Drosophila melanogaster: one gene and its partners. The protein of the gene in region 2 interacts with the protein of the main gene of each other region in a pairwise test. Each region holds a gene or a part of one and is shown on either strand. Other genes may lie near its edges. The genes, in order: CG11269, CG10918 and CG10737.

Region 1 (2,974 bases), on a different chromosome or scaffold from region 2:
CGAAAAAATGAGTAAATGCAGTGAACCAGTTTTCAGCAGACTGCACTTGGTTGGTGGTGATAACAAGCCAGATACACAAGCGTACAACTAGAAAATCGTGTACGATAATTTACACAACGGTTTTCGTGTAAGACACAAAAGCTCGGTCGATAAGAACAAGATACATAACCCCGGTGTAGACTAGACTACGGTATAGAGGTGAAAGGGGGGGGAATAGCCAGAACTGGGAACCCACACCCCATTCCCATTAGCATGTTTCGGAAAGAGAATTTCACGGAAATTTATGATGCCCAAAAGAGAACACACCTCGGTGAAGGTGTCACGTGCGCTGTCAAAAATCGGTTGGTCCGAGACGAATGCATAATGCGGAGTGGACAACAGTCAGCCAGACTTGAAATCGAAAAGTGGCTTGGCGATAAAGAAGTTAAGGCTAATCGCAGAATGCGGTCAACAAACTGGTTCTTTCGATCTTTCGAACCAACAAGTGGGTGGACGTCGCTGAGTGGGTGAAATGCAATTGGAACCATGAAAATAAATTGTTTATTCAATAACCAATCATACAAATCAACGACGGAATCGCAAGTGACCGGGACCCCGCTTGTAGAGTCGCTTCCTTCTCTTGTTATCCCGACGAATGGCCACTATCGCAATGAAGACGAATCCCAGATAGAAAACGGCGGCTACAAAGCACCGTGTGGACACGTCCTGGTAGGCCTCGTCCGCCTGCTCCTTGAAGGCCTCCTGACTGGGGAAGTGGTGGGGCAAGGGCAGGGACTCCAGGAGCATCAGTGACTGGACGTAGAAGAAGATACCCAGCAGATTCAGCATCAAGAAGCCCCAGGCGCTCATGAACAGGCAGAACAGACAGCACTTGCGACCACAAAACATTTTCAAGCTCGATTCAATTCTATGCGAACTTTGTGCGACAGTGTAGTCGAGTGTTGCTCTGACCGCAACAGGTGCCAAGTTTAAGCCGACTTCGAAAGCGAAACCGAATCCGAAATCGAAATCGGAATGTATTGGACCACATACTATTCATCCATCTATCTACATACGCTCGTACACAAGTACAACCTTGTGCGATTTCAGCGGCATTAGATCAGAGTGGTCGGAATATGGAGTTCACGTACCCGTGCCTCTCGCTTTCGGCGGCGTTGCGATTGGGTTTGTTCAACTCGAAATGGCTTAGATTCGGATTTGATCTTAGCCAATGATGGACAACTGACAGATATATCATTTGCACACATACATATGAGTATGATATAGAAGCAGCTCAACTTATTAACACTTGAAAAGCACGTCAAAAAAACGATGTATACAATATACTTCAGAACATCAAGCTTATGCAGAACGAAGACCTGCAATATATTTGATATTTCAAATCAGTGGCTGCATTTAGTTCTGCGTATTTATATATCAGAAGTGATTTTTAGAGAACTGAATGTAGGCCATGCCAACCAAGTAGCTGATTCATTAAAGGGCAGCCTCTGATTTGAATTCCCCTTGTGAATCATGCTCAAGAAATTGCAATAAAAATAGCCAACTAAATAAGTTTAAGCAATAATTAGCACAACTTACCGTGAGTGGTTGATGTTCTCGATAAATCCGCAGAGCAACAAAATTTTTGCCACACTTGCAAAGAAGAAGCAGCAGAAGAATTCACAATAAAGTTTTTACTAGTTTCTTGAAACTCCGTTACAAAACATCAAGTTGTTGTGAAAATTCGTAAGTCGTTTTCGCGGTTGCTAAACCTTTTTTACACTCTGTTGTTTTACTAACGTTTCCTTTATTATGTTTGTTTATGCGAATTGTCGTTAGTTTTATGGGTTACTAGACACGATTAGAGAGAAATCAAAAATTAGGAAAATTAAACAGAATTGATAAAATATTTTTTACTTATTGCACCACGTGTTGCAACTTGAGACATAATAGGTGTCAGCTCTAATTGAGTAAATATGTTTTGCTGGTAACTTAAGCTGCGGATTTCGTACAGCCACAGAAAATGGGGGTCAAGTCCATTAGGTTAAAACCCGATCCCCAAGCGAAAGACCTTGACATTAGGGCGGTTGCTCACTGAACTTGGTAATATCTTAAGTGTCTCGAATTCCCTTTGCGCAAATCAATCAACTTGTCTTATGAGAGCACGAAGAAAAATGAAAATAAGATCACTACATTTTTATTTAAATGATATTTCATAGCTTATTGATATATTTCTAATGAGTATTAACCTAAAGTTTGATCTTATATTTCAAGAGACGGATGTCAAAATATTATTCTTCGCTGATTATTTTCTCAGTGTGGGATTTCAGTTACAGTTATATGGTTGTTATTTGCCTTATTTGCTTAGCACATTCTTCTTTACAATCACACAGACACTTGCTTTGATTTGTGTATTCGTTTTTGTTGTAAGCGCAATTATCAGTACAAACATTTATAATAAAAAAAATTGCAATTTCAACAAAAAAAAGTGTTTAGCTTTCAGTTTAACTTTTAGCTTGAATTTGTTAATGTCTTCACTGAATTTTATTTGTGCTTTATGAAAATATAATGTACACACTGATAAGAGAATAATTCATTTTATGCTATAATAATTCACTTTATATATTTATTGTTTCTCTCACGTTTGTGATTCGCTTTGGGCATTTGTTGTTAAATCGGTTTGTTTCGCACTTTGGGACACTTCTCGATATTTAAACATAACATGTTTTTACGAATTCGCTTCTCGAAAACCGGTATGCAAATCCAAAAATCACCGCAATATATTCAAAACTATTTAATTGTATTTATCGAATTCTTCGTGCACCTTCACTTCGAGTTCTCGACTCCGATGCGACCGCCGCGCTACGAAAACAAAGATTGAACACGAGTTGCCTTGCGATGTGGCTTAAATAGTTTGCCTCTCTCGCTCGCGTCGCTCAACGAGAGATGAGAACGAGTCTCTCCAAAACACAAATTTTAAGAGAAGAGCACCAAA
Region 2 (2,905 bases):
TTACCTTCCCGCATCAAAGTTAATGAAATTTCCAAAAGGGGCAAAAGTTCAAACGACGACAATTGGGCAAGCGCAAAAGCAAGAGGAATTGGGAGAACGCAGAAAAAAAGGCGGAAAAAGGGGAAAAGTACGGGAAAATGAAGGAAAGCCGTAGGGGAAAGCAGAAGAGGGACAGCGAAGAATACCTAGAACCACCAGCTTCTCTGAAAACCCAAAAGATTGTATCCGAAAATTATATTGACACGGTCGTGAATATGTGGCGTCAGTTTCTTCAGCCACACACACACATATGTACTTACTTTTGACGCAAAAATTAATTTTCATTTATATTTTTTTTTTTTTTATCTAAGCCGCAAATTTCTTTTTCTTTTTCTTTGTCATTTCATTTTCATTTTACTCCAAACGAAGTCACCCACCTTCCGGTCCTCGAAATTTCAATTTAAAAATCCCCATATGTGCGGAAAGCGGGAAACGCCATTCTATATTCGCGATTCTTAAACGCCACCCACTCCCGCCGCCCAACTAGGTGTCCTTGTCTCAGCCGCACATTTCACTCGACGCCCTGATTGATTCTAATCAGAAAATTAAGTGGCTCCTCGAGGTCGTTTGCCATGTATTAGCACTAATGTTAAAGATTTCTCTTCCTCGACATCCGCAACTCTCGAATTGGGAAAGTCAGAAAAGCTGTTCAGAGCTTTACTTTTCAGGAACTTAATCCACATTCACTCTAAGATGTTCGATCTTCTATACATATTTTTTTATTAATATAAGAAATATATGTTTATTACTTGGCAGTTGATATAGATAGATTTTAGACATAAATAAATGGCGCAAATGAAGGCTAAGCATGTGTATTTACAAATCAATTGACTTATTTCTGCGAATAAGTGTTACCAATTGAAAGGCCTTAAAAACTAATGAATTTACATAGTTCCTAACTTTTAATAAAGCATGAGAAAATTCAACTTTCGATGCTGGAGTATAAAACAATGCTATAGTCGAGTAAACCGACTAACAGATACCCGTTGCATACGCTTCTACGACTCTAGTATACCCCTTTACTCAGCAAGTAACAGGTATAAATATGTAAATGAAAAAATGAACAAAAAATATAATTTTTCCGACTGAGTCATAGATTTTAAGAGAACTTTTAAACGAGTGCTATTAGAATAAGTAACCCAGTTGTTGACAACAAATAAACAAAGTAAATAAACAAAAATTTGCAGTAGGGTTATAAACCTTCAAATAGACATTCATTTTCTTCTAAGCAAATTTACAATTCGTCTTAGTATTTGGCTAACGTTATGATTGTTTTTTGTTTCATTGTGAGGATACTGCGTAAATTTCTGTAAACTTCCCTCTCTGACACAGCACTTTTTTTTAAACTCAAACGGTTGTATTAAAATAGAAGAATAGAACAATGGAACTAATTCAAACATCGACCAGCTGTTGCCACACGACGAATGAAACAAGAGAAACACACGGATTATTAGATGCGAAGAATTCGAGCTCAGCTCTTCAGGGAGTTCTTCGCTCTATTTTCCATTCTTCGGAGTATCCAGCTAAGCACACAGCCAATGCTGCCGTCACGGGGGATTCTTAGCAAAAAGGCTGATGGATGAATTCGACACCGAATTTTTGGGTATAAAAGGGGCTACACGTACATAACTCAAATCAGTTGCTATTGGAGCAAAAGTCCCACAATGCGTGCCTACATTGCAATTACCCTGCTGGCCCTGGTGGCAGTTGTCGTGGCCCAAGGGGGAGGCGGAAGACGTGGTGGACGCGGTGGCGGCGGAGGCGGTGGCCGAAGTCTTGGAGGATTCGGAGGACGTGGAGGCGGTGGCTTCGGCGGTCGCGGTGGTCCTGGTGGTACTGGTGGCCCCGGTGGCTTCGGCGGACCTGGTCGCTTTGGAGGGCCTGGAGGACTTGGCGGTGGTGGAGGATTCGGAGGTCCCGGCCGCTTTGGCGGTCCCGGAAGCTTCAATGGTGGATTCGGCGGTCCTGGCGGTTGGGGCCCACGTCCACGTCCTCGTCGCCCAAGACCTTGGTGGACGACAACGGAGAGTTCCTTGGCCGACACCAGCAGCACAACTAGCAGCTCCTCCAGCTCCACCGACAGCAGCTCCTCTGCCAGCTCCACTGATAGCTCCACCGATAGCTCCACCGATAGCTCCACCGATAGCTCTACCGATAGCTCCACCGATAGCTCCACTGATAGCAGCTCCACGGAGAGCACTACTGGTTCGGGATAGATTCTGAGTCTCAATTGCAGCGTATTGAAAACTTTCTGGGAAATGTATGAAAATAAAATCTAATTGGCACATTGAAACTTAATTTCATTAACTTGGAATATATTAGTCATATACAGTCATATTAGTCTTACAGACTAGCCGAATCTATTCAGCAATGTCCGTTCGTATTAAGACCTTTGATTCGCACCAAAAAATATCTCGATTAGCATATGAGATTGAAAGCTGTCTCTTAAGAGAATTATCGTTTCTGTTATTTCTTCGATATCGACAGGCAAATCAATCATCTGATTAATGAAATATCATCATTTGTTATCATAAAGTAAACAGCATGAAGGCTAGTTATTTTGATAATTTAATTTTGGCAGCTGCCTGCCGAATAGCTCTATTAGGGCAAATTGAATTTTCAATAAGTGGTAGGCTAAGCGAGAATTGGACATAATAGGAAACACCCGACACCGCTGAGAACACCACATGACATATGCTGCACCATTTCGAGTCCAAAGGGGTGGTGCAACGAACGGGGGCACGGGCACAAACGTGCGGGGAACCTAGTAGGAGTAGGGACCGAAAATCCGGACGCCATATAGAAGAGGGCTGAGAGTGCGGAATGTCCAAATCCAATAAATTGACCAATAATGAACGCTCGAATG
Region 3 (3,766 bases), on a different chromosome or scaffold from region 2:
TTTGTGGGTATTCATGTGCATGTATTTCAGTATGGTTTGCACGTGAGTTAGGTGGCCAAATATATAAAAGTTTCATTAAATTCCAGAGCCAGTTATTTAGGGCCAGCAATTTCTCTGTGCGAAATGCAAATCGATAAAGGAGAGGGAGTGTGGTGGTTGGTTTTCAAAAGGGGGTGGTGGTGGCGGGCGGAAAAGCTTGGCACACATAGTAAACAAATGGTGTTTTCACTGAATTTTTATATGCTCTACTCACACGGTTGACCGAATTTTAAAGGCCACGTTAGCAAATAATATTCCTACGAATTTCGATTTAGTGCAAACAACAAAAAGTTCTACCAAAACACTGCCGATTATTCTTGTCTCAAAAATAATGCCGTTTCGTATTTTATTACTTAATATTTTTCAAATTATTTAACTATTTCGCTGCAGCGAGATAGAAGATAGTCGTGCTCTTCTCGCGTTGATGATGAAATTCTTTCGTTTGTTATTGTTCTTTTTTTTTGTTGTGTTTTTGTCACTTTGTTCGTTGCGAAGATGGCGATAAAGGAGAAGCGAAGAGGGGAGGCGAGGCAAATCGAGTAGACGTGTGAAGAATTTTACAAACTTCCGTAAAATTAACTAAAATTGAAAGACACAATTGATATCTTTTGTTCAATAAAGTCGTCATTTCAGCAATAACAATATTTTCGATTTATGCTAAAAAGTGTAAATCTAAGTTTTGACGCTTGAAATTGGCATTTTGCTATATAAAATTTAGTAAAGCATTAAAAATTCCACAATATTTAAATTCAAATCGAATGAAGCCACTCAAGTTACAGATAATCAAAAACAGAATAGTGGAAGCCACTCAAGTTTAAATAAAATACAATCGAGTTATTCAAGTTCGCCTGTGTTGTATTCAAACTTAAGTTCAATGTCGTCGGTTGCTTCCGCTTGCTCATAAAAGTTTCTTTTGCGATTGTTTCTCTGTTATATTTGAATGTCTTCGATAAGAAATCATAACATTCAAATTATGTAGATTGTCCGTTGGCCTTTGTGTGCTTTACACTGCACTACCCGGTTTTAGTTTTAACTACTTTACACTGACACGTTACTACTGGGCCACACAGTCGCTTTAGTGGTTTTCTATTTAAACTTGGCCAACATTTAAATTTCCCCAGCCACAATAACAACAACAACAATTAGAACCACTGAAGAGAAAGAGAGAGAGCGAGACAATCAGCTGTTTGCAGCATCAATGAAGAACGCTGCTTTTCGGCAGTCTTTAATTTCGATTTAAGTTCGGCATTATAATAAATTGTTTTTGTGTAGAACAAGCAACACATAGCCACACACGCACACACAGAAACACGCGCGCACAGTTTATATGTTAAATTGTATATTTCTGCAATGCTTTTTAAATATTTTGCTGCGGTACAACAAATATTTTTGCGGTTTGTTGCCAAATTTCCCATATACAACGTACACACGCTTATCGAATAAGCTTTCGTTTTATCATTTTGTTTCTTTATTTTATGTTCTTTTTTTTCTGTTGAGCACTAGGAACAATAAGAAATCTTTGCCGCCGCTATTTTATTTTTCATCCGCGAACGAAACGAACACCAACCTTACTCGTTGAATGTCAAAGAGAGAATAACATTCGCTCATAACATTAATGTTAAAAGAGTAGAAGAAAAATTATCGATATTTGTCGTCTTGGTATCGATAGCCATGTTTAGGCACTTGTTGCTCCCTGCAAATGTTGCGCAACATGGTTTCTAAAAAATATATTTTTTATTGATCTTAGTTTTTAAGTTCATTGTAAATTTGGAAGAAACAATTGTATCCATGTTTATAAGTTTCAACATTGAAAAATCGATAAAGCAACACATAGATTTTGTGGCAACTCCATATACTATGATTCGAATCCAAACCGCAGAATCCTTTAAACTCAAAACATTTTTAGCGGGAAAGCAGCTCGTTTTAAACTGCAAAATTCAAACATAAATAATATAATAATTTTAAATCTGAAAAATAGCAGCCTAATAGTCCAAGACCTTTACTGCCATAAATGTAGAAAATTGAAACAAATGTTGGTTTTTTTTTTACATACAAACGTTGCTGTTTATTTCACTTTACGTTCTTTTGTTGAATATGCATATAATGTTTTTGCGCTTCTACTTCGTTTCCCGATCGCCGCCGCTTCTATAACTTACGCCCCTTAACGATCTAAGTGAATCCGTTGCTGATTTTTAATATATATTTTGATCTCGAGTCAATGCTGGCTGCTACATCGTTTCCTCATCTCTTGTATGTATATTGAATATTCTGGTTGTATATAAGTGTATAATATATTTAATTTAATACATAAAAAGGTTGCGCCCACTGCAAGGCGCATCGATTTTCATTTGCTTCGTTTAAAATAGTTTACGTGTGTTTAATATTAAATTGTTTCCATTGTTTTCGCAATGCAAAGATCATATATAAAAATACAAAAATCATAACATTTACATACACACCGGACCGGACCGTGTGTGTGGCCGTCATATAACTAGGTATTTCATATACTCTATATAATCATATATATCATATATCGACGCAACCTCGCACAGTCAATATAAATTATTGTTAAATTACAAAAAATTAAAATGTATATATGTATTCGAATTATACACAACTACCACTCTCTATCGCTTTCACTTTTCAGTATAAATAAATTTTTGTCCACTTAATAAACAATTTCACTTCTTTATGCTTAAGAACTAAACTCTTCTTATCCTTTATCCTTCCTCTGCTCCCGCCTCGTGTCCTTCCTTTCGTCCTTCCGCTTTCCCACTATCTGATCCACCTTTTTTTCCGATTTGCTTGGCCTGCTATCTTTCAATAATTTCGCTATTTAGTCTTAGTCGTATATGGAAGTTGAATTGGTACGCATATGTTCAGGAGCGGCATTTTGCGCCGAGTCTGGGGGGAGTGTACATTATTTATGGGCGTTCCTTTATATATTTATAAGTATTATTAATATGTATAATACGCAGCAGTCGATTGTTAATTTAGCTTTCTAATTTCGCTGTATAGATCGTATAGATCGCTGGATCGCAGTAATTATTCGTGTGACACTAATGCTAAGTTGCTCGAGCTAACTCTGAGTCCTGAACACCACGCTCAATTCCGCTTTGAACTGTTTTTTTTTTTTGTTTGTTTGTTTATGTTTCTGATTTGCTGAAGACTTGCTGGTTCTTAAATTGAGTCGTATGAGATCGTGTGCTTAGGAAAATGTTGTGGTTTTGTTGTAGGAAATGCGTGGAGTTTTTCCATTTTTTCAGGAGCTTTGATGGATGACGTTTGTGGAATTGTTTTCATTTCGTTTTTGAGTCGTAATACTAGTTCCCTTTAGGTTAGTTTAATGAGTAGTCCATATATATTAAACCACATATATATATATATATATATATGCATGTTTTTGTGGCTGTGTATAGAGAGATACGTTCTATGTATAATTACAAACGTTGTTCATTTTGATTTTGTTGTTTTTTGGTACGAAACAATAGATAAATCCCGGCGAGCATAACAAACTAAAAGGTAGAGGTGGGGTAGTATGGAGAACAAACGAAAAAAGGGGGGGATGATTACGATATACCGAAGATTGCAAGCAATTCTCTTGTTCTCACACTAAAATTGGCTTATAGACTTATGCAAAATAATGTACAACAGAGTTAGTTACATAACTTATAGATGTCGGTAAGCAGTTCTTCCCATTAAAATATAATTACTTTGACTAAATTTC

Evidence for each region.
Region 1: the proteins of CG10918 (region 2) and CG11269 interact in a two-hybrid assay, tested with the Drosophila melanogaster proteins (one large-scale study listed by BioGRID).
Region 3: the proteins of CG10918 (region 2) and CG10737 interact in a two-hybrid assay, tested with the Drosophila melanogaster proteins (one large-scale study listed by BioGRID).

Annotation. Positions count from the first base shown.
Region 1 is NT_033778.4:22,136,856-22,139,829, reverse strand, and holds CG11269 (uncharacterized protein), read right to left. Parts: upstream 936-2,974; 5' UTR 889-935; coding exon 565-888; 3' UTR 535-564; downstream 1-534.
Region 2 is NC_004354.4:21,428,042-21,430,946, reverse strand, and holds CG10918 (uncharacterized protein), read left to right. Parts: upstream 1-1,690; 5' UTR 1,691-1,703; coding exon 1,704-2,255; 3' UTR 2,256-2,333; downstream 2,334-2,905.
Region 3 is NT_033778.4:19,162,016-19,165,781, reverse strand, and holds the start of CG10737 (uncharacterized protein), read right to left. Parts: upstream 1,640-3,766; 5' UTR 1,607-1,639; intron 619-1,606; exon of another isoform or gene 1-618.